Linked DNA regions of Caenorhabditis elegans. The protein of the gene in region 1 interacts with the protein of each later gene in a pairwise test. Each region holds a gene or a part of one and is shown in the gene's direction. Other genes may lie near its edges.

Evidence for each region.
Region 2: the proteins of C29F9.5 (region 1) and fozi-1 interact in a two-hybrid assay, tested with the Caenorhabditis elegans proteins (one large-scale study listed by BioGRID).
Region 3: the proteins of C29F9.5 (region 1) and zfh-2 interact in a two-hybrid assay, tested with the Caenorhabditis elegans proteins (one large-scale study listed by BioGRID).
Region 4: the proteins of C29F9.5 (region 1) and gpd-3 interact in a two-hybrid assay, tested with the Caenorhabditis elegans proteins (one large-scale study listed by BioGRID).

What each region holds. Positions count from the first base shown.
Region 1 is NC_003281.10:113,891-121,259, forward strand, and holds C29F9.5 (histone acetyltransferase), read left to right. Parts: upstream 1-3,619; 5' UTR 3,620-3,665; coding exon 3,666-3,693; intron 3,694-3,739; coding exon 3,740-3,885; intron 3,886-3,928; coding exon 3,929-4,055; intron 4,056-4,338; coding exon 4,339-4,449; intron 4,450-4,503; coding exon 4,504-4,877; 3' UTR 4,878-5,024; downstream 5,025-7,369. Other genes in the region: C29F9.6 (histone acetyltransferase), read left to right, coding at 1,318-1,342, 1,388-1,497, 1,908-1,998, 2,061-2,486, 2,534-2,604; pals-24 (DUF4200 domain-containing protein), read left to right, coding at 6,602-6,626, 6,671-6,702, 6,747-6,808, 6,855-6,885, 7,267-7,317.
Region 2 is NC_003281.10:9,278,097-9,286,477, forward strand, and holds the start of fozi-1 (Formin-homology and zinc finger domains protein 1), read left to right. Parts: upstream 1-3,684; 5' UTR 3,685-3,837; intron 3,838-8,381. UniProt on the Caenorhabditis elegans protein: Acts redundantly with hlh-1 to promote body wall muscle cell and coelomocyte specification in postembryonic mesoderm progenitors, probably through suppression of sem-2.
Region 3 is NC_003279.8:799,567-808,287, forward strand, and holds the start of zfh-2 (Zinc Finger and Homeobox), read left to right. Parts: upstream 1-3,801; 5' UTR 3,802-3,835; coding exon 3,836-3,908; intron 3,909-4,233; exon of another isoform or gene 4,234-4,306; intron 4,307-4,778; coding exon 4,779-4,856; intron 4,857-4,903; coding exon 4,904-5,329; intron 5,330-6,033; coding exon 6,034-6,314; intron 6,315-6,852; exon of another isoform or gene 6,853-7,093; intron 7,094-8,721.
Region 4 is NC_003284.9:3,110,002-3,117,315, reverse strand, and holds gpd-3 (Glyceraldehyde-3-phosphate dehydrogenase 3), read left to right. Parts: upstream 1-3,974; 5' UTR 3,975-3,994; coding exon 3,995-4,234; intron 4,235-4,283; coding exon 4,284-4,412; intron 4,413-4,459; coding exon 4,460-5,116; 3' UTR 5,117-5,225; downstream 5,226-7,314. Other genes in the region: mai-1 (ATPase inhibitor mai-1, mitochondrial), read left to right, coding at 1,751-1,960, 2,263-2,319; gpd-2 (Glyceraldehyde-3-phosphate dehydrogenase 2), read left to right, coding at 2,629-2,868, 2,918-3,046, 3,093-3,749; gpcp-1 (Putative glycerophosphocholine phosphodiesterase GPCPD1 homolog 1), read left to right, coding at 6,701-6,846, 6,888-7,013, 7,074-7,171, 7,217-7,314.

The sequences.
Region 1 (7,369 bases):
ATAAAAAAGAATGACTCCATATGATTTTGCCGTACTTTTGAATTTTTTAGAATAAACTTCCGGACAAGCTAGCATACTTTTTTGGCATTTTCTGGTATAAATGACAATTCTAAACAGTTTTATGAAAGAAAAAAGAAGCAATTCATATGATTTCCCGTACTTTTGGAATTTTGAAAATTACAGTTTTTGGCCAAATATTGCATTCAAAAAGGAAACTTTTTTTGTTTTTTGAAATGAATATTGTAGTTACAGAGATAAACTCATCTAAAAGAAGAAACAATTTGCTATTTATCTAGTCAGGACAATTTTTTCTGCATAAATATAACCGAGGTAAAATAATTTTTTTGGAATTCGGAATAAAATTTCACAGCTTAAACTGGAATTTCAGTCAAATTTTGAACGGCAAGAAAAAAAGAAAAAAAAGGTCAAATTTTGAAGCTACTTTTTTGATTATGTTTCAGAAATTTTGGATGTTTTTAGATAGTTTCGAAGAGAATTTTAAATTTTTGAAATTTTCAATAAATTGACATTTGAATAACTAGAGTTTCAGTCAACTCTAATTTTCTCATTGATTATATTTAAAAATTAGAGTTCCACAAATTTCAAGTAAAACCAAAAATGTATCCAGTGTACCGTATTTTCTCTTCCAGTTATTCTAGTCAGTTTCTCATTTGCCCCTGACACCTGTTCTTCACAAGCCCCTCGCGTGCCCATAACTGTGACATAGAAGCAGAGAAAGAGAGGGTCGGTGCCTGGCCCATCAGTCGACGGCACCTACCCCCCTCCGCTCCATGTTTATCTTGTTATCTCTAACCGTCTCCAGTTTTACAGTACCCTCTCGAAGTTGTAAAAGGACTCTTCTCTTGTTTTTTCCAAGTTTGAATCTCATAGATATGATATTATTTTTCTGATATCATTTTTGGATTCTGATCAGCCCATAGAATTCTACAAAGAAATTTTTTGTGGACTCTGAGTCATGTGGATTTGCCCCAAATTTCCAATCGAATATTTGCTAGGATCAGAATCTCTGGATCGGCTTGCTCAACTAGGTCTGAGAGCTCGAGTTCGCCCAGATCAATCTAATGGTAGAAGCCTGTAGTCTATAAGTTTCGGGCCTGTTTTCTGACCCCTTAACTGCCATAACATTCACATCTGTCGCGGGACACCCTTAGAGAAGCAGAGAAAGAGGGGGTGGTGCCAGGGCCCTCTGCATCTCTGTGACCTCCTAATTTACAGTCTCTCAGAACCTTCACACAGTTTCGAAATCAGTTGTTTCTGGCCTAAAATTTCTGCGATTTTCCCAAATTTACTGATCCGATGACTATTCCCAAGAACCCGCAAAGTTTGTCTTTACCTTCTTTCCTTTTAATTACCTAATAAATTTCAGCCTTACACCTCTCCAACATTCGCATCGTACAACCACCTTCCGAAGAAGATTTGGCGCTATCTACTCTCTCCCGCCAGCTCGGGCTCATGCTCCACGCCGAACGATGTCAGGTGAGTTACTGGAAAGACTCACTGGGGAACTTAGTCATTTGGCATGAGGGATACGTGATAGGCTGAGCTGAAAACCTAGAAGTTCTGTATCTCTGCGAGCTAGCATGGAATTGGAAAAAATCAGCTGAGGACTTTGTATCAGGGTTGTAGTGCAACTTGCTTAAGGAGTTCTAGAGCGTGTGCGGGGGCCGAGATGGAGGCTTTAGCGTCCCAGTTGTGATCTTGACTCCCTATAGAGCGCCTTGGGCTCCTGGCCGCGCGCTCCTAAAGCCCAATGCTTCCTAATCCAGGTACAAAGTCTGCTGAGAAGCATGCATTTTCCAATTATAGTCAGCAAAGGTATCAAGCTTGAAAAGTGTTCAGATATCTCGGATCTTCTAAAGACTCGATTCTCTAGTTTGATTTTGCAGATCGCTGAGCAATGTCCTGTTCCGCAGTGCTCCACGATGAAGGAGGTGATCGGGCATATGATGACGTGTTGGAATGGGTTTCAGTGTCCCTGTAAGTTCAGAAGAGCCCCCCCCCCCCCCCCCCCAATAGTAACCTTATCCCTTCAATTTCAGCCGAACACTGCACTTCGTCTCGTATGGTCATCCACCATTGGACACGCTGTACCAATGCGGAATGCCCGATTTGTGGAGCACACAGGACTGCACAGAATATGAACGCGTTGAGCACAATTCCTATCGTCAAGGATCCCGAGCCAAGACCTCCAGGAACCTCACAACCGTGGCACAGTGAAGTTCCGAAAACCGATAGAGAGGCAGTTATTGAGAGAATCTCCAAACACATCATGCTCCATCCGCAAAGATTCGAGCCAATTTGGAAGATAAAGGAGGACGCGAGGGCTGCTGAGCTTCAGATTTTTGAAGCAGCGGGGAGTAGGGATGAGTACTACCGCATGGTTGAGGAGCGAGCTCCCCGCGAGCAGGACAAAGCTCCTGAGGGCCCTGGCCAGGAGGCACAAAAAGAGGAGAAGGGGGCTGGAGGTAGACTTTTAGTCAGGTGTAATTTAAGTAATATGGAAGATTTTCAGAGGAAGATCCTGATGAGGTGTTTGATCATATGGAAGGCACTTCCAAGGACTTCCAGGGCTCCACAGACTGATGATCGCCAGCTTCACAGAATCTCAAATTGCAATACTTCTCATTTTAAGGACTTCTTTACAATGACTTTTTCTTATGTTAATTGACATTTTTATATCATTGCTCAAAAAAAGTATAGAAAACCAGTAGAATAAAAAAACAAAAAAAAATTTTGTTCAGAACTGGGTGAAGGGCTACTTGAAACTTCAGTATTTGGAAAAAAGTAAAAAATTCTGAAAGAACCTTTTCAGTAGATTCTTAGTCGGCTTCAGCATCACAGCTTTGGTCCCTTTGCACCACAATTGCCCCCATGGCCTTGCGGGGAATCTAGGAGGTACGGGACCCAGGAGGTACGGGCCCCCACAGGTATGGTCCTCACAGGAACGGGCCCACATGTACGGGACCTAAGAGGTACGGGTCCCTACACGAGCTCCACAGACATGGTCCTTTCGGGTACGGGGTCCACAGGAACGAGAACCACAGATATGGCCCAAAAAGTACGGCCTCACATCTACTGCCCCTACAGCTACAGGCTTCCGAAGATTTAGCCCCACACGTACGGGCCCCACAGCTTCGGGCCCACAGCTTCAAGCCCCTAATAAGCTATGGTCCCTTCCAACACAGACAAAGCTCTTGGGCTCGCGGTCCTTATCATTCTGCTCCAACACGCCATGCGTGGGCCAGCTCCACATTATCACCCGTCATTCAAAACGGTTCCAGATACTTTGTCCAAAAACTCGTTCAAAATTGCGATACATATCACGCAACACACTTTTTATGGGAAAATGTGTGATTGAGAAACACAAGCCGGTGCCGGGGGGGTCTCCCGCTCTGTGTCTCTGAGACTCCTATACATTTACTGTGTATATTGAATAAAATCAATGTATGTGTGTCCAATTTTGCGTGGGCTTGGTACAGCTCATTCATAGCGTGACACTGGTTCCAGATACTTTGCCAATTGGTGTATTTAAAGAAGTGTGCCAAATTATTTCATTCATTTCCTTAAATTTTCTTTTAAAATTTGAAATTCGTTGCGTTTTCAGCATCTCCTGGTTCTACTCCAACTTTTGACCCATTCTAGAAATGTCGGAATCCCTTGAGGAAGCGCTTAGTAAGTTACGATCCTTCGCACCTCTAATCTCGCCTGAACCTTTCAGTCGAGGACCTCTCCAATCTCCGAATCTGTGTTACCTCCGATAACGTCCAGCAACAACCCAGGGTCTCAACAGCCACGATGAACACGCTGATCTCCCGTCAACTAGGGCTTCTGCTTCACGCCCACGAGTGTGTCCGTCGGGATATTGTGAGTTTCTGGGCTCCCGGGGGTTCTAAGAAATATTTTACAGAAAATCCGTGAAGCTGCCGAGAAGAACGAGCCGGCTCCTCATGCAATGTGTAAGATTCAGGATTGTGTGATCATGAAGGAGGTGCTGAAGCATATGACGTCGTGCAAGGAAGGACCCAAGTGTAACTGTGAGTGAAAATAGATGAAGGATTGCTAAAAGGATCTAGACGGTGCCGCGCTTGAGTTTCAGCAGGCTGAAATGACCCTGAGCCTTGTAAGTCTGGTCCCATGCCTGACCCTACATCATAGCCTGATCCTAAGTCTAAGACTAAGCTTAAGCCTAAGCCTAAGTCATGGCCTAAGCCTAAGTCATAGCCTAAGCCTAAGCCTAAGCCTAGGCCTCAGCCTAAGCCTAAGCCTAAGCCGAAGCATAGGTCTTTCCTCTAAAACCCACAAACCCTGAAATTCCAGCGGTCCACTGTGCTTCCTCCCGCACCATCCTCAGCCATTGGAAGAAATGCTTCAACGAGGAATGCCCAGTGTGCAAGCCGATTATTGAGCAGCGGACTGCTCCTCCTCAGGGTAACTATTTGAGATTCTACCCCACCGGCTCAGTAAATCGGCCTATTCTTTCAGACACCACCCCTGCGGAGCCCAAAAAACCAGAACACGACCAGATCTGGCACCTGGAAGTCCCCAAAACCTACCGAAGCGAACTCATCGAGAAGATCTACAAGGGAATCATGTCCAATGTGAAGCCGGGTACCCTGTCCGAGGCCCAAATGGATACCTGGAAGGAGTACTCGAGATCTGCGGAGCTTCAGATCTTCGATACCGCCCAAAAGCTGGAAGCGTACTACCATATGGCTAGAGAGAAGGTTTGCCGCTACCAGGAAGGATTTCCAAGACGTCAGAAGACGGAGGAGAAGGATGAAAGTGATGGTTCAGAGAAGGAGGATGAGGCTGACGATCGCTTGGAGGGGACTTCCACGGACTACCAGGGTTCCTAATCACCTATCAAAAGATTTCATGTTCAATTGACCAAATCACTACTGTAGTGGCTGAATTTACCAACTGTTAGTACAAGAATCTTAACCATGTCTCTTGTAGCTTCGTTTAACCTAGTGTTTCCTGAACTTTGTATCCTTGGAATTTTTTTTTGAAATAAATTACTCTCTGGCATAATTCATTTGTTTTCAATTTTGATGCAGAAGACTCGAAGTGGAAAGACCTTAAATAAACAAAAAAACATAACCAAGGTCACGGGGAACACCTGGTGTTCTTTTTTTCACTACGGATTACATGTTAATTAATAACATCTAAGTTTACATGTTAATTTGTAGGTCCCTAGCCGTGTAAAAGACTGAAAAAAGCGTTTTTTCTGCAACACCTGATCATGGAAAATTATAATTTTTTATAAAAGAGGTTTTACAGATTTTATTACTGGTGGATGAGCGGCGCGATTCTGCATTCAATTGATATTAACTATAATCCAGTTGTTGTATGTTGTTGTTGTAAAATGGCGCCCCTTCTTTTTGTTTGCGAAAGCCACCTCAAATATTCGATTACTCCAATGGTATCCTTGTTCATTCTTCAATAATTTCTCATAAATTTTCACTTGAACATTGCATTTTAGTGCCTTTTGGGGAAAAATACACAATTTTCATTGATTTTCACATAAAATATGAAGTTTTATGAGAGAATTTGAGAATTTTCGAAGCGATTTCGAACAGTTTATGAGTAACGATACTCGTATACCTCCAATACTATTTGAATTCTTATTGGTATCTCATTAAAGAAATTAGCAAAGTTTATTCCTTGACATTACAGAGATTGCAAATTGATTTGGCGGAGTTGATGAACAACACGGATTTTATTGCAGTCTGCACACATCTACCGCAAGCTGTTGAAAAAAAAATAACCAAATGATTTTGTTTTATGGAAAGAAAGTTAGAGCCTTCAACGTGCATTTTGCAAAAATCAAAGGCGATACCGAGAAAGAACTACATCAAATTGTACTCGTGAATGTCAAAGAGCCCACATATCCAAGCTTCTAGTATTAATGATCTCAAGTCTTTTAATGTATCCTTGAAAATTCCTTAAAATTTCAAGTGTGTTATTAATGATTTTATCCATACAAATCGGGCAAGACTTTGTTTTAAATTCGGAATCTCAATAGAAAATACTTTATTCGACTTTCATCTCTCTGGACACCTTCTATAAGTCGGTCGATTTCAGAGACGTGTGAGGGCGAGCTTCGTAAAACAATGATAGAACATAAAACATAAAAAACCAGATCATGAATAATTATTGAAATTTTAATGAAAAAAAGAATTTATAGATTTTTCCGGGCCTCCAGATTTATGCTGATTGCTTCAGTCCACTTTTCTTTGTTTTTCTCTGAAAGTCTCTACTTGAATAGTGGAGGCTCAACTGATAAGGAAACTGTTTATTCATTTGCTCTTGATTAGAGCATACTGACTTCAAAAACATTTTATTTACGTTCTCGAAATTTGGTAGAGAACTTCTTGTAGATAATTTTGAAAAATTCAGTTTCAGCTATTTCAACATATTTCAAAATATTGTTTAAATTTTCCGGTCTTGATACTCAGTCTGACGGGCGGGGCTCAAATTGGAAAACTGATAGTGAGAGCAAGCAATTCTAATGCGTTTCTTCTTCCAAACATTATGTTTACTTATTTCCTTGTGATAATTTATGTTTCAGCACACAGCTATGACTGCTCGAAAAAATGACGAAGGTTTGTGCTCTGTTTGTTCTTGTTGTAAATATGTATAGTTTTAGATGCTCTACAAAACCTTTCAAAAATAAATTTGGTTGGTTTTGACCAGCAACCCTTCAAATATTTGATTTTTAACAGGAAAACACGAATTCTGAAAGTAATGTTAAATATTTGTTGTTTTTGCAAAACTTGGAAAAACAGTAAGTCGAAAAAAAATTTGTCGATTAAAATTTTGGTGATTTTCAGCGAGAAGATGATGGAGACGGAACAAGCGGAGGTAACAAAAAAACTGTATTTTTTTTGAGATTTTCAATTTTCCCAAACTACAGTAATCCTACAGTACTACAGTACCTCTTTAGTACTACTGCAGTACCCCGACCATATCCGCCATTGGTCTTAAACCAATATCCCTATGAAGACAAACAATCAATTTTTCTTAAACTAAAGTAATCCTACAGTACTACTGCAGTCTCCCCATTAACCCCAAACCAAAATCCCTTCATTAATCCATAACTTTGCACACTACAACGACTACATAGACTGCAAACTATGGGCAGACCCACCATTTTTTTTAAATATATAAGTAATGATAAAAATTGGACCGCAAAAACTTCTTGATCGCGCACCCGACACATTTTATGTCAAAAAATTATTTCAGCGGAAGATGCTCAGATTAAAACAAGAAGAGCAATTAGAAGAAGTGATGAAGGTCAGTTTTGCCTCAATTACGTGCAATACCTCAAGCATATATTTAATGCAAA
Region 2 (8,381 bases), 9.2 Mb from region 1:
ATTGGGATGCACTTTTTTGGAATTGAAAAAAAAATTAAAGACGTTCTAAATAAAAATCGTATAATAAGATTAGAAATCTTGTCCAGCTTTTAGTGTTGGAAAATTTATTAACGTTTAGAACGAACGATAATCAGAAAACCTTGCAGCCAGACAATTTTTGGTTCAAGTAGTTCGAGAAAAAAAAGTGCGTTTTCAATAAAACCACTTAAGATTTGACTTCATCGTGCATCACTGAAAACTGTTAAAGTTTGAGTGATTTATTAAAATGCAGTTTTGATGGTCCAGCATGGACCTAGTAAAATAATAAAAACTCTGAAAAGGTTTAGGTTGTTTCAAAAATTCCAGTCAACGTTTCGGTGAATCGCCAAATTTTCCAAAAGTAAGTGGTGTTTTTGATTCTCGGTTTTTAACTTTTTAATAAACGTTAAAAAAAATCAAATACATATATTTAAAGGGCATTTCCCCCATATAAATTTCTAGTATCTTCAATCCCTTATCTTATCATTAACCCCTGCTATCCCAGTAACTCCCCTCTAGTTTCATCTTCCGCCAGCACGCGCGCAGCTTCATCTCAAAAAGAAACAAAAAGAAAGTAAAATGGTAATAAGTGTTCGTGTCTCTCTCTCATCGTCATCAACTGGTATGCAAAAGCTTTCGCTGATGAAAACCGTCTTCGTTGCATCTCGGTGGTGGTGTCCACACTGAAAATACACTTAATGCGTCTTCTCCCTCCTTGTCATGTTGTTTTCGCTCTTCATCCCCGCTCCTGTTGTGAAGAGACACGGATGAATATGTTGCCTTTCTGTCTAAGAGACGCGGATAAGTGAAGCCAAAAACGAAGAAACTATGCCATTACTATGTATTACTGTATAAAGGGCTGGTTCTTTTTGCTTATTTTCAGAAAAAGAAGCAACATGATGTTGCCATCGTATGTTCGCTTTTAAGTGGCGGAAAAAGGAGAAATTGGTTTGCGAATGCGTAGATAACACATTCAAAACACAGATAGTTCATGAAGCATTTCAAAATGTTCGGGTCTGACATTGAACAATTATAGGTTTCACTTATTCACTAAGGAATTTCACGCATAAGTTCAAATGGAAAGGAAATGAGTATTGATACTTTTTTTATGAAGTACGGAATTTCCTAGGTTGATGTAATCGGAAATAACTTTTTGCTTCGGGGTTAGTTTTAAAGAATCATATGTTTGATCTACTACAGTGCCAGCTATTTTTTTCCAAAATTTTGCTTTTTGTGATTTCACAATTTTTCGAATAGTCCTAACTCTAAACATCTTACAGCTTAATCTACGTCTTTGCAATGATTTGGAAACATTTTTTGGAGGGAACAACATCGCAGTTTTGTAATTTTCTGAAACATTATTTAAAGTTCAGATGGGTCCCGCCACGAGAAAGACATTTATGACAAAAACTTTTGATTGTTGGTGGCCACTTTTTGGTGCCCAAAAGACTGTAGACTATACATTTTTTCGCCGAAAGACCCAGACTAGTAAATTTAATTTTAAAAAATCTTCAGAAAAATTCAAAATTTCCTGAGAAAAAAATCCGGAATTAAATTTTCCCTAAACCTAAGTCCACTCAGTGTTCCACTTTTTTTTTTCAAATTTCGAATTATACAGTAATCCAAGTGCATCATGCGGGCACTCGTTAGTTCCTCCCAAAAAGTTTGTTTAATCGTTCCGCTAAAGTTTTTTCCAAAACACTCGGCACATGGTCATCGCCCAGCGCCGACAATTTATGCCGTTTCGTGTTCGCCGCCTGTATGAGAACACAGTTGTCAAATGCTCATTTTAGAGTACGGTAGCTTTCCAGATTCCATACGTATCTATTTCTCATTACCATCTGATTTTAATCCGTCTTTTCGTGTAATTCACACGGATAACAAACAAACTTATACAAACAAAAAATAAGCTCAATGGGTGGGATAGAAGAAGGGGGAGAGAAGTGGTCTGCGTCTCGTGAAAGTGAACAATGATTGCGTGAAGTTCAAACCAGATGTGGATATGTGTCTAGGATTTTGGAGATTTTCAGAACTAGAATTTAGGTTTTAGGCTGACTTTTTCGAGATTACAATGAATGGTTTATTTTCTTGAGATTTTTGTGGGTAGCACTACCTTGGAATACCGTATTATCCCTGCCAGACTTGAAACATTTTCAGTGTCTTTCAACATACCAGAAAAAAGCTAAAGCTTGCGCTATGAGTTTTCTTGATTTAAAACTTTAAAAATAAGAACTTTCACCTTTTGAAATTATTTACATTTCTTCGAAAGAATCGGACTTCTACAGACTACAGTTTTCAAATTTATTTTCCGAAAATTTTCCCACTGTTTTCTTAGTTTCTCTAGAATCTTTACCTGCTCAAAGTTCACACCTATTCATTTTTGTTTTCCCGTTTGTTGTTTTTTTTTTCATTCACCTTTTCTTTTTCCCCCATTCATCGAGCTTTTTTTGGTGTCTGTCATCGAGTCCATGGGCTTAGCGAGGCTTGAAGATGAGCGCGCGCAACTTTTCGCGTTGATTGTCGCATTATTCCCCCGCGATCCCATTTTGCTCTTCTCATCGCAACAGCAGCAGGCTCACACGTCGTTATAGTCTCCTGTTTGTTTCGCAAAAAAGGACTTGGCGTCCCCGAGAAGAAAACGATACGCAAACACATATATAGATTGCAAGCAAGAGTGAGAGGTGTGTGCAAGCTTAACTCGGAACACAACGGGAGCCACCTCTCGACCTTGTATGGGAGAAGAGTCAATGCGCCTGGAGGTTGAGAAAAGAAAACAATGATCTTGATCCAAAATGATCTCGATTTCTTTTTTGAGCATTTCCAAACATCCAGAGAGCTCATACCGTAACTTCCTACTATTTTTAACATCAAAGCTCTATATGCTATAAGATTATGAAAAATGTGATTGAAAAATGGAGATTTTGAGAACATCCAGGGATCATCCAATGGTGGTTTACAACTTTTGATAGCTTATTTTATCCATTATAATATCCAGATTTTTCACAATTTGTCACTTGTTATAGTAGCTTTGTGACAGATTTTTATTTTATTTTTGCTTGAAATGCTCTCCACAGGGTGGTTTTTTTCGCTGTTCTCTGTATTTGAACAATTTTTTAAGATTTTTTCAGTTTTATTTCAGCTAGAAAAGTTTAGAGTAAATAGGCTACGGTATAAAAAATAGGTTACGGTAGAAAAACAAAATCTTCGTAAATTGTTTAGATTTTTTGAAATTTTCAGTTGACGATTAGGTAAAATGGTAAAAAAGAAATGTTCAAATGAAAATATTTTTAAAAAAATTTGAATTTCAAAAATTTGTTGCAGAAGTTTAGAGCGTTCATGTAGGCGCCAAAACGTCATTTCTTAATTTAAAAAAAAGTTCAGAAAAATGCGCGAAGATGGTGTGAGGAAGCCAGTTTTCAGGCAGGCGCCATGTTTTGAAACCGAGCCTGCCTTGTATAGAAGCAATGCAGAAATGAACATTTTCATGTTCAACATCTGAAATTATGAGTGATTGCAAAAAAAACCATTTTAAAACATTTTTTGAAAAGTTTACTTGGCTCTAAATTTAAAACTTTTGTTTTTCAGAAACCTAAATCTTCAATGTTAGAAGCTACCGTAACCCTTCTCCCCCGTTTTCAAAAAATCTCATCTCTCCTTAATTTGTATTTTCAGAGCATCCTACAACCTCTTCTCCAACGTGCTCCAGCCAACTGACCACTTCACTCTCTGAAACCGTTCGCAATCAGCGGAAGACGCTGGTGGGGATTCGTCTCCGGCCGCCTGCGCCTGTACACACAATGACATAGACACAAAGAAAAGGTGAGGAGTGTGATCGTATTGAGAAATGTGCGAAAACGGGAGTAGGAGCTCCTGTGCTCAACCTTCTTATTCTCTTTATTTGACATATCGAGAGCATAGAGATGGACACCCCCTTAGAGCCACATTTGGACTTAGGCCAACGCCTGTGGTAGATTTGAAATTTCTAGTTTCTTGTTATGTTGTTTTCTTGTTTTGCTTTTCACCTTCTGAAGCTTCAGAAGCTTCTTTTGCCATCATCAACCCAATTACTATAAAGTAACAGAAACTTTCGCTGATGCTTCTCTTTCCTTCGTTTTTCTGGTACAAGTATCCGCCATCGAATGAAAAAATCTTGTTTTTAGCCCTCCCTAGTGTTCGTTGATGTTTCTTTTGTACATATATCCGTCGCTCTCTCCACCTCCATCTACTTCGATGGCAGTTGTTTTGGTGCAGGCACCAGGGGCGCAAAGGTGAAAGTGACGAAAGAGGCGTGGCAACCAGGAAAGAGTGGACCCTTAGTTTCCCAACGATTCGCCGCTTTCCCTCCATTTTCTCTAAACTTTCTCAGCTTTTCGGCTTTATCGACAGCTTCGTTCACCGTTCTCGATCATTTTTCTCACCTGAATTTTCAAAACTTTTGTCTTTTTTCCATGGAATACTTTTACATTTTCTATATGTAGTTTCATTTGTTCCAAAAAAATAAGTATTTTCTGGATAATAGGTTTCTGTATCTAAGTTTACGGTAGGTGCAAGTAACTTTGCGTAAAAATTGAAAATTAAAATGATTACTCAACTTTTTGAATACCATATTTCTCTAAAAAAGACTTGTCTTAGACCTTGCTCAACTTTGACAGTTTTGGCTCCAAATGGTTTCATCAAACAACTGTCAATTGACAAAATACGTGCAAAATATTTTTTCTATATTTTGATAGTGGAACATTTTTTGATAAAAACCTAAGAAAATCGAGATATAAGCCACTCAAATTATAACATTTTTTAGAAGCTAGAAAACGTAATTTTCAGTTTTACCTTGTCCCCCTGAAAGTTCATGAATTTCAATTTAATTATTTTTTTCCAAAAACCGCATCGTGCCAAAGATTTTCATTTTAAGCTTTATCCTAGATCCACCCGACCAGATTACCATAAGTTGAACTTGTTTTGTTTGTTGAGTTTTTATTCCAGCAAAATCGCACCGTATCTCATCTCTGATTTGTTATTCCCATTGTTTTCTGGTGGAGGTTTCGTATTCGAAATTTTTTTTTTAATTTTTAACGGCAATTTTGAATGTATTTTTCAAATGTTAACGAAGAGTTTTTTCGATAGTGTTACTGGATCTTTGATAAGCATATGATCTTCTTAGCTTTATCGTCTGATTTAAGTCCAGTAAAAAAATAATCTAGAAAAAGTTGAGCAGGTTTTATGACTGTTTTTGTGAGGAATTGTAGATTTGATTGAACATTTTTATAATCTAAAATTATTTTTAACTCAAACTTCAAAAAGCACTTCAAAAATGCAACGAGTATGATGGATGGAAGTCAACCACAAAAAAACATATTTTTTAGATTTCTAAAACTGAAGGCTCTAATTTTTTAAACATTAAGTTTCTAGTAACAAAGTCAAAATTTACTCTGCTATTTCGTACTAGCTACTTCCTCATTTCGAATTTTCAACTTTGACCTCATGGACATATCCACGTGTCGACACAATTTCTAATCGGCTAAGCTCCTACTTAGTCAGTTTTCATCGCGACTAATATTTAACAACGATGGCCTTATCCTATTCAGTTAAGCCTTGGATTCAAAAATTTTGAAAATCTCATACGAAATTGAAAACCTATCAACGTATCAAGTTGGTGTCGGGTCTTCTATATTTTTTTTGGTTAAAAAGAAGATTGAAGCCCTTTAAATTTTATCCAGCTTCATCGAAGATTTCACAAATTTCAATGAAATTATTCTTCAAAAATCATCGAGTCTCCTCCCTTCTTCCCCCACTTTTTCGACATTAACTTCCCATTTTTTGAGAGGTCATCAAACTTTTAATGATCTCTCGAGTCGTCCATCAACTTTCACTCATTTCACAGTTGTTTTACGGCTCATAACTCCGCGAATCTCGCACCCATATAAACTCTCATTTTGCTTGATAATTTCACACTCAGTTGCAATGAGTACTGTAGTCTTTATGAAGTCTAAACTTAAAATTTTCACGCCAAAATAATGTGAGAATTTTAAATTTTCTAACCATGATTGAGAGAAATTTCCAAAAAGTTACTGTATTTCCTTACATTACTTCACTTTGAAAAGTTACATTTCGGTTTATTTTGAAGATTTCAAATTTTCGTACTATTCCTTTAAAAAAACATAAATAATAAAATTTATGAAGTATCTCATTGGTTTCACTGCTTCATATTTCTGGGAAATAAAATATTTCTATTGACCTAAACTATCTTAAAATTATCTATATTCCAATTTAATACTATGTACTTTCCATCTCACCCATCTACCGAGTTAACTGCAAAATTTTTCAAAAGTTATGAAACTAATTATTCCTCCGGCAAACAAATGTGCCTATCACACGCTCTATTCATACCATATTAACTTGCTAATCAACTACTTTTGTGTTGTTAATCACTGACACATATGTAAATTTCATCCTCCAATATCTCGCTCCTATTGTTCCTCCTGTTTTTGAATCATGGTGGTGCTGCCAACTCAGCTCCACTTAGGGGCGGCGCCTGATGTCCAATTGGGCTCTGCCGGCTTTTGCTACCAACTCATTACTTTTACACCTACGGTACCTATTTTTTGTGTTTTTCAGGATACCTCTCAACTATTCATCAGCTTCATCTAGTCATCTTCTTTTACCTGTAAGTAGTGAACAAAACAAAAACTCGAAGATCCAATGTTTTGCCTCCTTGTAATAACTAATTCAAAAGTTAAATTGGAGGCCCCTTCTCTTCGAATAACTTATTCTCAAGATGTGAACACTCGCCCATTTTCAAAAACATGATTAATATTTCTCGGTAATACGATACTTGTCTCTATATTTTTTTCTAAAATGCGCATCTTCCTTATACGTCTAAACAAGAAGAAAAAAACCGAAAAACAATTATTGTTTTTGAAAAATGAAATAGAATTTGAAGGAGGTAGCCGTCCAACTTCTGACTATTTGGAGCTAGGGGCGTCAGTTGGTGAGCTCACACCAGGCGCCGTGCCTTGGTAAAATTTGAAATGGTGTAAAATCACACACGTTGGCAACATCTCTATTGCGCATTCAGTGTAAATTTAGCAACTGTGCAGGGAGAGTTGTGTATAGGACTTTGGCAATATGTGTTTGGGTGAGCCTAAGCCTATCCCTAAGCTTAATCCTAAACCTGCACCTAAGCATAAGCTTAAGCTAAGCCTAACCCTAAGCCTAATCCTAAACCTAAGCCTAAGCCTTAGCTGAAAAAAGTCTTTCAACTTCTTTTAAAATCTCAAATCCCCATATTTCCTTTTTTTTTTGTTCAATCAATTGGCAACTTCTCTCAAGTTTAGTCAGAATCTGTGACGCGTCCGCCTTCTGAATACAAACTGGGGAGTAGAGCATGACTAGTATTGTAGTTACTCCATGAATCTTTCGTTTTTCTGACTGATTGTCAATCACGCCTAGTAATGTATCTTTGCTTCATGAAAAAGCTCACATTTTTGTTCATTTTGTCGTGATTGTTTTGTTGCTTGGACAACTGTTTCTACATTATTGGTTTGAACTACAGATGTAGCTGTTGAGTTGACTTAAAAAATATATGTACTGTATAATTTTTGAAGAGTTTGATTTTTATTACTGTTGAAAGTTGCTTAAGCTTTGAAAAAATCAGTTCCCCAAGAAAACGTCTTACATTCTTAAGCCATTTTTGTCATCATTTAAATTTCTGAATATCAAACCTTCATAACAATCCTCAATTCATTTCGCTACAAATTACTGTTATTCTGCCAACTCTCAAAATCACTTATTGACGTGTGGGTCCGACTCCAAAATTCTCGATAAAAAATTGTATTTCTTATTTGTCGCAATTCTCCCTGCCAATCGTCAAGTTGTACAACTCAGTGCCATTCATTTCATTTCACTTTTTTTCAGATCCCTTTTCCATTGCAACAAACACATCAAACTGAAGCAGCCACCGTTCACACTGTAAGTATATGGAAATTGGAAAAAGTAGAGCCAACTCCCCTTACTTCGAGAATTGTATAGCCTAGTACATTGTACAAAGTCAGTTCCAATTTGAATGCTTATTTCAATGGAACTGCCGCCGCCGCGTGCGCCAGTTTTAAGGAAAGAAATTGTACATTTTATGTCTAGTTTTTTTCTCAGTTGAATAAATCTACAGTAACCCGAGTAGGATAGCCTTGAGATCCGTTATTATCATGCATGTGGCCATTGTCATTATTATTATAATCATTATGAATAAATAATGAGGCACATGCGCCTCTGGATTACTGTAAACATAGTTTTATAATTATATTCGCTGTACAGGCATTTTTTGCAATTTTTGTATGAAACCTACTGCTCTACTTTGACGCTGATATCTC
Region 3 (8,721 bases), on another chromosome or scaffold:
GTGTTTTTCTCCACTTCTACGACTTTAAAGGAGGGCGCATTTATGCGACTCACGTGATGTCAGGCAGTCTCATTGCGGTTTGATCTACAAAAAATGCGGGAAACTTTCCACCAGGAAATTGTGACGTCAGCACACTCTTGCGAGATCAGTTGAAAAGTCTGCGTCTCTTCCCCCGCATTTTTCGAAGATCAAACCAAAATGGGACATTCTGACACCACGTGGTGACTTAGGATCAATGTAGATCGTTTTATAGGCCATCCATTGATTTTTAGAGCTCGTGGCGGGACCATTTTAAATGAATTTCCAAAATTTCCAAAAACCTAATTTTTTTGTCAATTCACAAGTCCCCCGGACCCCCTCCATTGTCCCCCCGTTCACAACTTCCTCCCTCGTTAACCACCCATTTAGCGGGACAAAATTAGCGAATCATTGACTCATAATCAAGTAAATCGGTGAATGCTCGACGAGCAAGAGGGGGGGGGGGGGGTCTAATCGAATTACGGGGGAAGGGACCCCTCCGCGCGACACCTCGCTGCCAATTAACAAGTCAACTACTTGGGGGGGGGGGGGGGCCTCCTCACAACAATGTTTGTATTATATTTCTTGTTATTATGATTATTATTATTATTATTATTAGAAATTAGTTAGTATGAATATATAATATCAACTAAAAACAAAATGACAGTTAATAATAATTGAAGTCATCCAATAGGTGCCAATTAGTCAAAGAGAGGGGTCTGTGAAAACAGAAATAGAAGAGAGAAGGCGGGGGAGAGGGGCGCTCTCAAATAATTAATCTGGGCTCCGTGGGCTCGTAAAATTCCGATAAAATGGCTTGTTTGTAATTAGCTAATTCACGGAATCTTTTTTTTTTGTTGGGGTTTTACTATGTTTTTGAACAACTTCCTGTTATAACATGTTTCAAAAAAACTATTGACCTCAATGGGGACTTGAACCCTGGTGTTGAGATTGGTAGTCTGTTAACCAGTACACCAAAAATTGCAATTTTTGATTTTTGTTTTGTCTATTTTTTTGAATACAACGATAAGTAAGGATCATTTAGATTTAGAAAAAAAAAATCAAATTTTGTAAAAATTTTCTAAAAAGTTATGAACATTCCACTTTCACAGATTTCTGGCTTCCCTCATAAATTGAAATGGAAGAGTTTTTGGCGAACAAGGCCAGATGCGTTGCGTGTCGCGTCGCGGCTCGATTTTAGTTGTAATGCATTTGTCCGTGTGGAGTCCACGACTTCCCCCGTTGTCCGCCAGACGATTGTAAATGGAGCGCGAAAAATTCAATGAGAAAGGCCAGAACCCCGTGCACTTTTTTGTTTCTAAAACTGAAAATTTTGAATTTTGAAATTTTCCTTGGTTTTACAGTATACAAAATCTTAGTTAGAGTTCGCAAAAATTATTGACACTGGTGGGGGCTCGAACCCCTGAGGTGGCATCCCTGTTAGCCACTGCGCCAAAATTGCTAAAACTTCAAAAAAAAAATTTTAGACCGTTTTTAAGGTTTTTAGACTTCCGACTCTTCAAAAATTCCTATACAAAGTCTTCGTAAAACTAATGACTGGGGGGCTCGAACCCCGGTCATCATATCAGTAGTCATCCCTGTTAGCCACTACACCACTTGCCCAGACGTGTTTCTGGTCTGTTTTACGGTGCAGCGTGGCCTAAAAAAAACTAGTCAGCCACCAATTCGAAAAGTCCATAGACCAAGTTAATATAGAAATTCTTCAAATTCGAGCCAACCAACTAATATATTCACTAACCTATTTTCGCCGTGTTCTTCCTGTGTGTGTGTGTGCCCCTAGTTAGGCCTAGCCCCCCCCCTTATTTTACTTGCTTCACAATTCAATTGGCCCCCACACAGTTACAGTAGTCATAATCATTTTGTGTCGGGTTTTCGACACATCGTTTAAACGTGTTACCTCTCTCGGGGCCCCCTCTTCTCCTACTTCTTATTTGCTCAAAATTTGCGCGTCGAAATTTCTTCGTCGTGCGCTGCCCCTTCCGAATAATCAGATTCACCAATGTATAAAATAGGCCACGCCTCACTTTTTCCACACCCATCATCTTCCCTCAACTTTCCTCTTCTCAAATGCCTAATCAGCCAGTTATAACGAGGGTGCTCTTCGTGTGGCGCCCCGCCCATTTTATTGCTCCTCTCACGCTTCATTCTCACTTTTTCTGGGGATCCTTTTTTTTGCAGACCTAAAAATTTGAGCTCAGCCATATTTTTTTTGTAAATATAATCAAAAAAAAATAGACATTAGTCAAAAAAGTTGTTTTAAGCCTAAAAAAATTTTTCAGATAAAAAACGTTTTTCTTTAACTTTTTTGAACAGTTTTTCAGTGAAATATTTTTAAATTTTTATTTTAAAAAAATGTTTGTTTATCTAAGCCTAAGCCTGAGCCTAAGCCTAATAACCCTAAATAGCGTCAGTGTGGGAGCTCACGCTCCCCCACTGACGCCAAGCCTAAGCCTACGCCTAAGCCAAAGCCTAGGCCTAAGCCTGGGCCGAAGCTGAGACCTAAGCTTAAGCCTAAGCCTAAGACTAAGACTGAGTTCAAGCCTAAGCCTAAGACTAAGCCTGAGTCTCAGCCTAAGCCTAAGCCTAAGCCTAAGCCATTTTTAAAAAGCTTAAAAATTTTTGCAATTACTATTTTTTCTGAAAATCTGTAAAAATATCGAATTTTTAGAGTTGCTATAAAATTTAAAATAATATTCAAAAAATAATCCGAAAAAATTAAATTTTTTTTCTCAAAACGTAGATCATACAGAATCAGCTTTAAAAAATTCAAACCATTTTTCGTTTCAAAAATGTTCAGAAAATTTGTAAAACTTGAGTTTTGAAGAAAGTTTTCATAAACTAGCTCTTGAATAGGGTTTTTAAGTAGGCGTTAAAACGCTTGCCTGCCTGACCTTCAGGCGACTTTCGCCTGCCTGCTTGACTTTCAGACGTTCTCTGCCTGCCTGCCTGACTTTAAGGCGACCTCCGCCTGCCTCTCGCCTCAATCCGAGCCTTATCTCTTAAAATGTTTTTCATCAAATTGATAAAAATACGGAAATTACAAAATTTTGTAAGTTCATGCCAAAATGCAGGCATCAGGCCCTGAGGCCACGCCTGCCTAGGCCTCCGACTTTCGTTCTACAATTGTCGTTGCCGTTTCCTTTATCCCATTTTCATACCCCAAAGTTATGATTTTTCTTACACCCCTTGCGCTGCTGCTGCTTCCGCTCCCGTGATCTTATGAATCAGTAGTCAGAACTGCAGGTGTGAATCTCCACAATGATCACCCAATAAACGCGAAACACCATTAGAAACAAAGTGTCCCCCGTTTTTTTTTTCTGAGAGTGTCGGCACCCCCCTAACATATGCGGGGAACATTGTCTCAAGTTTTGTGTGCTCCTCCAGCTCCTCCATATGGTTACCGTAGTCCCCTGTCAGTGTTGTGTAATTGTTGTTGTAACTATCCCCCGAATACCTCTCCTCACATTCATTCACAACACAGGTGTCAACTCAACTCTCAGTGCTCATTTGAAGTTTATGAAGTTTAGCTTCCGGGGATGGCTCTCCTGGGCTCCCCGCTCCCTCGAAAATTTAATTAATTGCAAGCACATGTGGTGGTGGTGGGGCGAGCTCCGCGCTTCCCCCCCCGCCCCGATTCTCTCTCTCTCATTTGCGACTCATTAGATTTTAAATCACTCTCAAACTTTCCACTTTTCCAACTTTCGCGTTTTTTAAATTTTTTTTTCACTTTTTCCTCACAAATTCATCCAAAAAAATTTCCAGAGTTGCCCCGCCCATATATTGGCTAAATGGTAGAATGGACGTGGCACTTTTGACAATGGATGACAACAACAAACCGCCGACAAGTTCAGAGTCTACGGAGAGTAGGGGTGAGTTTGGCCGGGGGACCGATAATTTTTAGGCCAAGACTTCTTTTTTTTTAAATCATTTTCAAAGGTACGTTACCTTCACGTGGTGCCAGGTTGTCCCATTGCTTTTTGATCTACAGAAAATGCGGGATTTTTTCCCCAAAAAATGTGACATAAGCAAGTTTTTAAATCTTTTCTCCCGCATTTTTTTGTAGATCTACGTAGATCATACTCTGACACCACGTGTACCTTGAACCTCCTGGCTTTCTGAAACTAGAGTTCGTCGCTAGAGCGCATTTGCATTGTCGTGGTATTTAATTTACAGTACCGCCAGAATCATGTCGCGCCGCTTGTAGTCTAGTGGTTAACACGCTTCAGCTCTAAACAATAGGTCCGGGGTTCGATTCCTTGCAAGATGAAATTTCTTTCTCAAGATGGAGGTACATATGTGCTTTAAATGTGCACTAGAGATAGCGAAACTGATACCATGGTCCGACATGTACAGGGTTCCGCGCGCGCCTAGGGCCTCCAAAACGCCTGCTGCTCCAGTTTTGCGGCGACCTCCGCCTAACTCGCGGCGCGCCTTCTGTATAGTCACGGCCTTCTGTCTTCCCTCATAAATTGAAATGGAAGAGTTTTTGCCGAACTAGGCCATCTTGGCTCGGTCACATCTGGGCTCGATTTTAGTTGTAAAACTAAATGTATTTGTCCGTGTGGAGTGCACGACTTGCCCACGCGTTGACCGGCGGGCGATTGCCAATGGAGCGCGAAAAATTCAATAAGGAAGGCCAGAACCCCGTGTATAGTGCCGCGCGTGGAGCCCGAAAAGTGTCAGCCGCGGCGGAAGAACCACATTCCATAGGACTAAAAAACTAAAGTTCTCTCTTTCAGAAACATCACCACCAATGATGCCAGATTCTGCGGAGATAATGCGACTTCTTACGGATCCTTCGACGGCTCAGATGTTTGGTAGGTCATAGATCAAATTTTTTCCGCAATTTCCCGAAAAATTTCAGCCAACGAAAACACAAAATGTCAGCTGGGACGGATTCTCGCCGCGTCAGGCTTCGACGAGGCGAGCCTCTCCTCCTCGTTTCCGTTCGATCCGACGCTCGGCGCGTTCGCCGACATTTCCCAATTCTCATCACTCCGAAATTCGTCGAAAACGCTGAAATGTCCAAAGTGTAATTGGCACTACAAGTACCAGGAGACCCTTGAAATTCATATGAAGGAGAAGCACAACGATGTGGATGTCAAGTGCATGTTTTGTGCCGAGAACCGTCCCCACCCGAAGCTGGCTCGCGGTGAGACGTACTCGTGCGGTTATAAGCCATATCGATGCGATTTGTGTCGGTACAGTACGACGACAAAGGGCAATTTGAGTATTCATATGCAAAGTGATAAGCATCTTCATGCAGTGCAAGAGCTCCCGAATAGTATAGGTAGGTGGGGGGGGGAGGCGAAGGGTACTGTAGTTTTCGTGGTGGGACCCAAGAATTTGAATTTCACAAGAATTTAACTGTTGAACTCGAACTTTTCGATTCTAGGGTCTCGCCACGCAAAAACACTTACGCCAACTTTTTTGAACCCTAAAAAATGATACTCAAATTAGAGTTCTCAGTGAGCTAAATTCGATTTTACAGTATTTTTTTAATTTGACGTTCTGTGGGTCTTACACTCAAAGGGTACTGTAGTTTTCGTGGTGGGACCCACTTGTCCAAAAATGGACGTGATTATATTTGGATTAAAGCCCCTAACTTTTCTGATTTTTTTAATAAATTGGTTTTATTTTGAAAAGACTGAGAAAATTGAGTTTAGATCGAAATCAATAAAAATCGCGTCGAGACCCAAATTTCCCGGGTCTCGGCACGAAAATGGGGGAGAGGGTACTGTAGTTTTCTGGCTTCTCTCATAAATTGAAATGGAAGAGTTTTTGCCGAACTAGGCCGGCCATATCTGGGGTAGATTTACGGCGCGTTGCGTGTCGCGGCTCAATTTTTGTTTTAAAACATGAGGAAGACCAGAATCCCGTGTTTTCGTGGTGGGACCCAAATGGGTCATGATTATACTTATTTGAAAGGCCTTAAGCTGAATTCAGATTTAAGATTTTTATTATTTTAATTCAAAAATATCCTGAATTTTCCAGAATTCGCAGCCAACTTCGCGTGTGGTGCTCCAGTTAGCCGAAGTAGTCCAATCGAAGAGTCCGACGGATCCCTGGTCTGCTTGATCTGCGGTATCTTCGCCACCGAATCTATCGCCGAAATGATGGAACACGTGGAACAAGACCGTTCCAGGACGTTCCAAGGAGACGTTACCGTCCTAAACGGGAGCTTCCGGTGCCACTTGTGCCCGTATAATACCACATTGAAAGCCAATTTTCAACTACACACAAGGACGGATAAGCATCTGCAAAAGGTTCAAATTGTGAGTTTTGTATTCCCCTCTCATCATCTTCTTATTTTTATTGTGTCGCCCTTTTCCCATTTTTGTGTGTCTGTGTGTGTATGCGCACCGATTTGCATATACACATAAATTCATGATTTAATAGCGTAATGAGTAATATTTGCTTTGCCAAGGCTAACAGTTTTCGTATTTTAAAGCCTTTTTTCTACAATTTTTGAAAAAAAAATTCAAAAATTTGAACATTTCAATATATCCCTAGAAAGCTCAAAATTGTAGTGAAAATTTTGAATTCAGTACGCTGAGACCTTTAAAATAAGTATAATCATTACTAGGTTTTGGTTCTGACGCGAAAGTGTTCGTGGCGGAGCCCAAGCAAGGCGTAATTGATTATAGGGTCTTTGCACGCAAAAAATTTAAGGTCCGGTAGGCGTGGCGGGGAGTTTTTCTTGAATTATTTTAGTTTTTCATAAATTTTCAATTTTTTGGAATTTATTTTTCTCTCCCTTCCCCCGCGTAGTCTGAGCCTAAACCTAAGCCTGAGTCTAGGCCTAAGCCGAAGCCTAGGCCTAAGCCTGAACTTAAGTTTAAGCCAAAGCCTGAGCCTAAGCCTAAGCCTAACCCTAAGCCTCAGCCTCAGCCTAAGCCTAAGCCTAAGCATAAGGCTAAGCCTAAGCCTAAGCCTGAGCCTAAGCTTTAGTCTAAGCGTAAGCCTAGGCCTAACCCTAACCCTAAGCTTAAGCCTAAGCCTAACCCTAAGCCTAACCCTAAGCCTGAGCCTAAGCCTAAGCCTAAGCCTAAAGTCTTCGTGTCGAGACCCAATTATACTCAATTGAAAGCTCACAATGAGCTGAATTCAAATTTCTCAATGAAAATGTGAAATACTTTGATTTTACGGTCGGTGGCTTTACTCCCCCCGAACTTTGGAAAAAACTCTGAAATTTTTTTTTCATTGAATTCCAACCGGTTTCTACTCTCTCCGGCTATTAGTGTATGTGTCTTTCACTTCTTTGTTCTCGTCGGGTTGTTCCCAATTTCCAACCCTCGTTTTACTCATTCCCCCTCTCATTTTCCCAATCCAATTAGTTATACCTATGGGGGGAGGTGACGGTGATGATTCTCGCCATTAAGACCCCCCCCCTCTCCTGGGCCGATTGAGATGGAAACAAAACAAAACTGTCAATTTGAATAAATTCGCAATTTGACGCGGGCGGCGCAGCGGGTTGCCGAGAAGGATATAAACTGGGGAACTCTACTTAGCCCGTAAGGTGTCGGCTGCTACTATTTTATCACATCTCAATTTTTACGGAATCCCGTAAGGCGTCGGCTGCTTCTCTGTTTTTGCATGTTTTTACAATTTCGGCCCGTCCGATGTCGGCTCCTTCCAATTGTTTTGCAAAACAATTTAAAATTTGAGCCAGCAAGGTGTCTGCTGCTCCGGCTAGATTTCCAATATTTAAATTTTGCACAATCCTGTAAGATGTCGGGTGCTTCTCAGTTTTTACAAAGTTTTTTCTCAAATACGGCCCGCGCAGTGTCGGCTGCCACCTCGTATGTTTCATCAAACTTGAACGATTCGAGCCCGTTAGCTGCCCGCTGCGTCTTTTTTTTTCTCAAAATTCCAGCCCGTAACTTTTCGGTTGCTGAAATAAACAAAATTTTTACGAAATTTTAACCCTTGAAGTGTCGGCTGCAAATTAAGATACCTACTCATTCAGATTCCCGTCTCTCCCTCTCCCTCTCTCTTCATTGGGGAGTCCTTCTCCCGAGAGAAAATGAATAAAACTGTCAATTTGAATAAATGCACACAGCGGGAGATGTTTTTCTGTGAAGACTCCACCGTCTTCTTCGTCTTCTGCCTATTAAGCGATGATCCTTTCACTTAACTGTCGTTCCCTCCCCCTCTCCACATACCAATAAACCTTGCCAAAAGGTCGAGTATGCTTTGCCCGCCATCGTGCCGGAGGTCTTTTTTCTAGACTATGATGTTTTTTTTTGGAAAAACATTTTTCTATGGATCGATGCACCATGATGCCGAGTTGCCGAGTTTTCAATTTAATCAATTTTGAGATTTCAATTTTAGTCCCTTGTACATATTAATTTTTTTGGAATTAACATTAAAATTTGATAAACTGTAGCTACAACTATTTATTTTTGTGCCAAATTATACTATCCAATTTGACTTGTCTCTTGATGCACCATGACTAACTTTCTAAGATCTCATATTTTGGCCTAAAATTATTCTCAAATATTTAAATTTAAACTTTAATCCTATTTTTTTTAATTCCTCGGAAAAAACCCCGTTAACAGAATTCCCAATTTGGCCTCCAGGAGCTTTTGTCGATGCACCATGTTCAACATTTTTTCAAAATTTTGCTCATTTTGACCTGAAATTTTGTCATTTTTTTATGTTGCAGGGTTTTTTATTTTG
Region 4 (7,314 bases), on another chromosome or scaffold:
CTTTCCTAGGTAGTTGTTTTTGTTTGATGTCATTGAAACATCAATTTTTAGTGAAACGAGAAAACCGGAAAATTTTCAACGAATTTGCCAAGTTTGAACTTTTGATTTGTTGATTTTTCGTAATATGATAGAAGATAGTGGGTTTTTTAAAAAACCTGAATTATGCAACTTTTTCTCAATGAACGTCACAAACTTTGTCATAGGAACTATTATTTAAAATATAGTGTTGGAAATATAATAATTTGGTTAAACTTGAGGTAAAGATGACACACTGTTTAGGCATGTTTTGGTAAGTTATTACATTACACGTTTATGATACATTAAATTTTGAAAAATTGTTATTGACAGTCAAAAAGTGGAAATTCCTGAGTTTTTGCCACTTTTTGAGAAAACTATAGCACTCTCGCCTGTTAGAATTATTGACTTCGTGCATTCAAACATATGCCATTAGAGTTTTGATCTCGAAGTGATTTTGAACTTTTGGTTGATATTAGCTTTTATAAAAGATCTCACGTATTCAACTGATCAGATACATTTGAATAAATTCTGATTCATCGTGTGTCTATTAGTAAATTAGATTTTCTTTCAGAAATTGAAAAAACTAGTGACTAGTGATCAGTGATAACTGATATAAAACATTCTTTGATGTCAATGAAAAACACTTTTCTCGTTGATTATTTTCCAACTCCTCCCATTTACTCCGGCCACTAGTTTGATCTTCAGAACGATTGACTAGCGACTGCGCCTTTTCATCTTCGTGTTGTTCTATATTTTATCATTGAAAACTTTCGGGTTGGAAAAGAGTTGCTCCAAGCGAAAAGAAGAGCAACTCCTCAAATCTCTTCTTTTCCTGTTACTACACTGCCGTTGCCTACGTGCCAACGGCCAGCAATCGTGTGTCGGCGACGTCGGCATCTCCATCGATTCGTGCCGGCTGGCTAGGCCGTCGTCGCACTCGCAGTTGGCCCATTTTCTCTCTATGCATCAGTTGAGGCTACCCGCCTCGCTCCCTTCACTCTCTATGTTCGCCTCGCCACGGCGGCTCCCCTAAAAAAACAGCGACCCTGCCCTGCCTTCTAAGGAAACAACACAACAGAGTTTGACTTCAAGGAGCTCACCGGAAACCAATGTTGCTCTTGCTCACAAAGACTTTTGAGGTTAGTAAATATTTTATTTCGTTCTTCTTTTTCTCGAAGGTCAAATGTTGTAAATGTTTCAAAGTCTTCAATTGTTTATGATATCAATTCACGGGCGGCTCGAAACTCTCTTCTCGACCCTTTCTCTAAATCCTCTGCAACACACGCACTATTTTCTACTAGATCAGAGTTTACTGACACACACACACGTTTTGTGCGTTCAGTTCACGAGAGTGCGGTGTGTGTGTGTGTTTGTGAGTTAATGTTTGTGCGTGTATATTGATGTGTGTGTAAAAAAAACAAAATCGATTGCCGTTTGGAAATGGGCGGCCCAGTGTCCTCGGTCTCCGGCCATCGAAACGCCACTCGCATTGTGAAATTTGTTTTGGGAGGGCCTGTTTGCATCACCTTCGCCCTTCGCTCTCACTCAAGATTACTTTACGTGCTACAAACTTGTGTGTGTGTGTTAGCTGCTTTTCTTCTTTTTCTTCTCAGAAATAAAAAAGGCATGCTCCCTTCGACGTCTTCTTGACAGCTTTCTTCTTTCGCTTCTCTTTACTTTTGGAGCCATGCTCATATAATCCAGTTAGTTCATTTCCAGGAAATCAAAACAGATGTCAGGATCTGGAAGTGGAAGTGGTGCTGGACATGGTGGAGGCTCCGGCGGCTCAATCCGTGAAGCAGGTGGATCACTCGGCATGATGGGCGCCACCAGAGAAGAAGAATACTTCCGAAGACAACAAAAAGATCAGTTGGACAATCTCAAGAAGAAGCTTGAAGCAGATATGACGCAAAGCCAACAGGAAATTCGGGATCATGAAAAGGTACGAGACACTCCATTTAAGGAAAACACGCAGGAAAATATTGTTGTTGATTAACTCGTTATTCTTTGATGTGTCACATGACACTGCCGAAACTCTTATCTGCGAAAGTGGCGTGTTCTAGAACTGATTCAAAATAGACCGGGGACTCCTTTCGAATCTCTCTATTTTACACAGTTGACCTTGATATGTTAGAGAGACGGGCGACTAGCGAGCATAATGAAGAGATAGATTGGTTTTCACAAACAATCTCTTTTTTTTTGTTTTCCACTACCTTTCAACGTTCTTCAATACTTTCATTTCAGGTTCTCGAACAACATCAGCAACGACTGAAGGAAATCGAGAAAGGACACGGAACATAAAAAATAGAGGGCTTTTCAAACGGCTCTCTGTTCTTTTTGCATCATCATTTTCAATTTTCCCTTTCTTTTTATGCATACTTATTCTCTCCTCTCTATTTTCTCTCTCACACCGCATTTCTTCATCTTGCCTATTGCATCATTTTTTTTTCGCTTACTGCACATGTTTCGTCAAATAGTAAACATGGTTTTTATGGCTTCACTTCATATTCTTCTCTCTTCAATTTGATTCGATTTTCATTTCGATCATTCTATTTTTATTTGTCGTTTGTATGTTAGTTGAACTGATTGTAGTAGTATCAATTTTCAGCCATGCCAAAGCCAAGTGTCGGAATCAACGGATTCGGAAGAATCGGACGTCTTGTCCTCCGCGCCGCTGTCGAGAAGGACAGTGTCAACGTTGTTGCCGTCAACGATCCATTCATCTCCATCGACTACATGGTCTACTTGTTCCAGTACGACTCCACCCACGGACGCTTCAAGGGAACCGTTGCTCACGAGGGAGACTACCTTCTTGTCGCCAAGGAAGGGAAGTCGCAGCACAAGATCAAGGTAGAATATTTTCCAAACATATTTTGTTAAACATTCTCTTAAATTTCAGGTCTACAACTCAAGAGACCCAGCTGAAATCCAATGGGGAGCCTCTGGAGCCGACTATGTCGTTGAGTCCACCGGAGTCTTCACCACCATCGAGAAGGCCAACGCTCACTTGAAGGGAGGAGCCAAGAAGGTAACTTGTAATCAACTTTTGTGCATAAATATATTTAAATTTTTAGGTCATCATCTCTGCTCCATCTGCTGATGCTCCAATGTTCGTCGTCGGAGTCAACCACGAGAAGTACGATCATGCCAACGACCACATCATCTCCAATGCTTCCTGCACCACTAACTGCCTTGCTCCACTTGCCAAGGTCATCAATGACAACTTCGGAATTATTGAGGGACTTATGACCACTGTCCACGCCGTCACCGCCACCCAAAAGACTGTTGACGGACCATCAGGAAAGCTCTGGAGAGACGGACGTGGAGCTGGACAGAACATCATCCCAGCCTCTACTGGAGCCGCTAAGGCTGTTGGAAAGGTTATCCCAGAGCTCAATGGAAAGCTCACCGGAATGGCTTTCCGTGTCCCAACCCCAGATGTGTCTGTTGTTGATCTCACTGCTCGTCTTGAGAAGCCAGCTTCCCTCGATGACATCAAGAAAGTTATCAAGGCTGCCGCTGACGGACCAATGAAGGGAATTCTCGCTTACACTGAGGATCAAGTTGTCTCCACCGACTTTGTCTCCGATACCAACTCTTCCATCTTCGATGCCGGAGCATCCATCTCACTCAACCCACACTTCGTCAAGCTCGTCTCGTGGTACGATAACGAGTTCGGATACTCCAACAGAGTTGTTGATCTCATCTCGTACATCGCCACCAAGGCCTAAGCTGTCTCATCCTACTTTCACCTAGTTAACTGCTTGTCTTAAAATCTATGCTTCTCTTTAGTATCTAAAATTTTCCTAGAAGCTTACAAGTATATAAATGGTCTCTTCTCAATAAAGGTTGTATATTTATTCATCTTATTGAATCTGCCATTTCCTCGTTTTTGCGAGTTTATATACCTTCCAATTTTCTTTCTATTGTATTTTCAACTTCTAATTTTAATTCAGGGAAACTGCTTCAACGCATCATGACCAAGCCAAGTGTCGGAATCAACGGATTCGGAAGAATCGGACGTCTTGTCCTCCGCGCCGCTGTCGAGAAGGACAGTGTCAATGTTGTTGCCGTCAACGATCCATTCATCTCCATCGACTACATGGTCTACTTGTTCCAGTACGATTCCACTCACGGACGCTTCAAGGGAACCGTTGCCCACGAGGGAGACTACCTTCTTGTCGCCAAGGAAGGAAAGTCCCAGCACAAGATCAAGGTAGAATTATTTCCAATTAGATTTCACCTAATATTCTATTCAATTTCAGGTCTACAACTCAAGAGACCCAGCTGAGATCCAATGGGGAGCCTCTGGAGCCGACTATGTCGTTGAGTCCACCGGAGTCTTCACCACCATCGAGAAGGCCAATGCTCACTTGAAGGGAGGAGCCAAGAAGGTAAATTAGTGATTTAATTTTTCAAGATAAATATATTTAAATTTCAGGTCATCATCTCTGCTCCATCTGCTGATGCTCCAATGTTCGTCGTCGGAGTCAACCACGAGAAGTACGATCATGCCAACGACCACATCATCTCCAATGCTTCCTGCACCACTAACTGCCTTGCTCCACTTGCCAAGGTCATCAATGACAACTTCGGAATTATTGAGGGACTTATGACCACTGTCCACGCCGTCACCGCCACCCAAAAGACTGTTGACGGACCATCAGGAAAGCTCTGGAGAGACGGACGTGGAGCTGGACAAAACATCATCCCAGCCTCTACTGGAGCCGCTAAGGCTGTCGGCAAGGTTATCCCAGAGCTCAATGGAAAGCTCACCGGAATGGCTTTCCGTGTCCCAACCCCAGATGTCTCTGTTGTTGATCTCACTGCTCGTCTTGAGAAGCCAGCTTCCCTCGATGACATTAAGAAGGTTATCAAGGCTGCCGCTGACGGACCAATGAAGGGAATTCTCGCTTACACCGAGGATCAAGTTGTCTCCACTGACTTTGTCTCCGATACCAACTCTTCCATCTTCGATGCCGGAGCATCCATCTCACTCAACCCACACTTTGTCAAGCTCGTCTCATGGTACGATAACGAGTTCGGATACTCCAACAGAGTCGTCGACCTTATCTCCTACATTGCTACCAAGGCCTAAGCCGCTTCAAATTCTCTAAGTCTGAAATGAATCTGTAACATAATAAATTCCACATTATTGTAACTTTGATTCTCATTTTCTTTATAAGAATAAATCTTTTAGCTGGAGTAACTAAAACTGTGTTGTTGGATAGAAAGCATTTTTCAATGGCTATATCAAATTTGAAACGTTGAATTCGAACCTTTCACGAGGTTTACACTCATTTATATTCTTCGTTGTGATTGTCCGTCATACAAACCCGATTAAGTTTCCGTCTAGCCTCTATGTTTACATTAAATTGAGAAGCGATGAGAAGTGTCCAGTGTAGAGTGCAATGTGCACTCAAAATGTCGGCACATTGTCACTTTGCTAACATTTTTCCCAGAGTCATTTGGGATACTTGTGTAGTCCCAAAAAATATTAACTATTAAGCTTAGGATTAGTGCTTTTCTAAGCCTGAATAGAAAACTTATTGGAAACAATTTTTGGTCACTTATGTAGTAGATGTATCACAATATATTTTCATAGGATAACTTTTTGTAATGGTAAACTCGTGAGAAATAATTATTTGTAGACCTAAAAATTCCAGATTTAATTTTAAAAATTTAATAATATTTTGGGGTACTTCTACTTTTCATCTACCTTTCCATATTTGATATTTCATTCGCAATTATACAATCTCAGAAAATTCCTATGGTCACGTTATTCTTTGTCGTAGACAGTTGAAAGATGAAGGAAAAAACGAGAATAGATATCACAAAGTCACGTGGCAAAATCCATCAACCTGTTGTTAGTGACGTTATTTTTTGCCTCAAAATGCGGGAAACGATGTACGCATGACTCTGACGAAGTCTGCCTGCTTCTACGGGTACACTTGAAATGAAGCATAGAAAGCTGGCTGCGTTTTTTTCTTGTTTCGCTTCACGCCGTTTTTCTTTTTCTCTTTATTCTCTTTATATTCTCTTTTGTGCGGGTGCGTTTCCAATTCCCCGGAGCCCATCTTCTTTTTTCCTCACTATTTCTTTTTCTTCTTCCATTTTGCCCTTCTCATCGATTCAGAAAAATTACTGGCTCGTGACAGAAAAGAAGAACCAAAAAAAAAAAGCATTTGGGGGCTCGGAACAAAATGAAGCAAATCCTCCCAAGTAAATGTAGTTTGCCGAAATAACGTGAAATTGAAATTCGATATTTTATAATAGCACTCTTTTTTTTTCTGCCACAAACGACACTAACTTCATTTTGTTTTTTTTTGTCGATCTGACACTGGCCAACAATAAACTACCAATGTTCGTTGTTTTTCATGTACCCAATCTTAAGTTCTAGTTGAAGAAGAAAAAAGAAAAAATAATCATTCAACTTTTTTTCCTTTTTGCATTAGCACCAGCATTTGCTCCTTTTTCTTCTTTGTCCCTACCCAGACTATCAGTCCCATAATGACATTATCGTTTTTGCGATAAGAAAATTGAATCGTTATCGATGCGCACCTTGGTGGGGAAGTAGGCCACTTTTTCTACCCACTTAGTTTTAATAATTCGCAATTTTGTTTCTTTTCTAATTTTGAAATTCAATAATTTAATCTTTCGAAATTTCAGATTACTGGTTTATATGGACCAAGACTACAAAGCACATTTCAAAGTTTTCTGCTCAGAAGTCAGAGAATGGGAAAAAATCCATGTCGTTGGAAGTTTGCCCGTCCTTGGCGAGTGGAATCCCAGAAAATCATTTCCATTAACAAAATCGACTGACGAAGAGTAAGATTTATTACATTAATTCCAGTTATTTTCTGTTTTAGAAACACTTTCCATGCAATTGTCAGTGTTCCCTCATCTATCAAAGAGTTCAACTTTCGATACATTCGAGTTATGTACCTGGATCCATCTGAAAATAACACTTCTGAGCCTATTATGGTTTTGTCAAAGTGAGTTTCTGGTTTTTTTTCACAAATCTATTGAAAATAATTAACAAAAAATTCGTTTAGATGGGAAACTTTTAACAATGCCAGAACTTGTTTGATAGGTGTGGAAAGTCAAGATGGAGTTGCTCGAAAAAATATCACAGATCAATTTGGAAGTTATAGTGAGTGTTGAAACTGTAAAACTACAAAATAATAGGTCAATTTAGGCGGAAAAACTCAAATAACCGATGGATGGATTTTGAATGAAAAAGAAAGTGTAGTGTATTTTCGTATTCATGGAGAAGCGCTCAAATTTTTTGCCAAA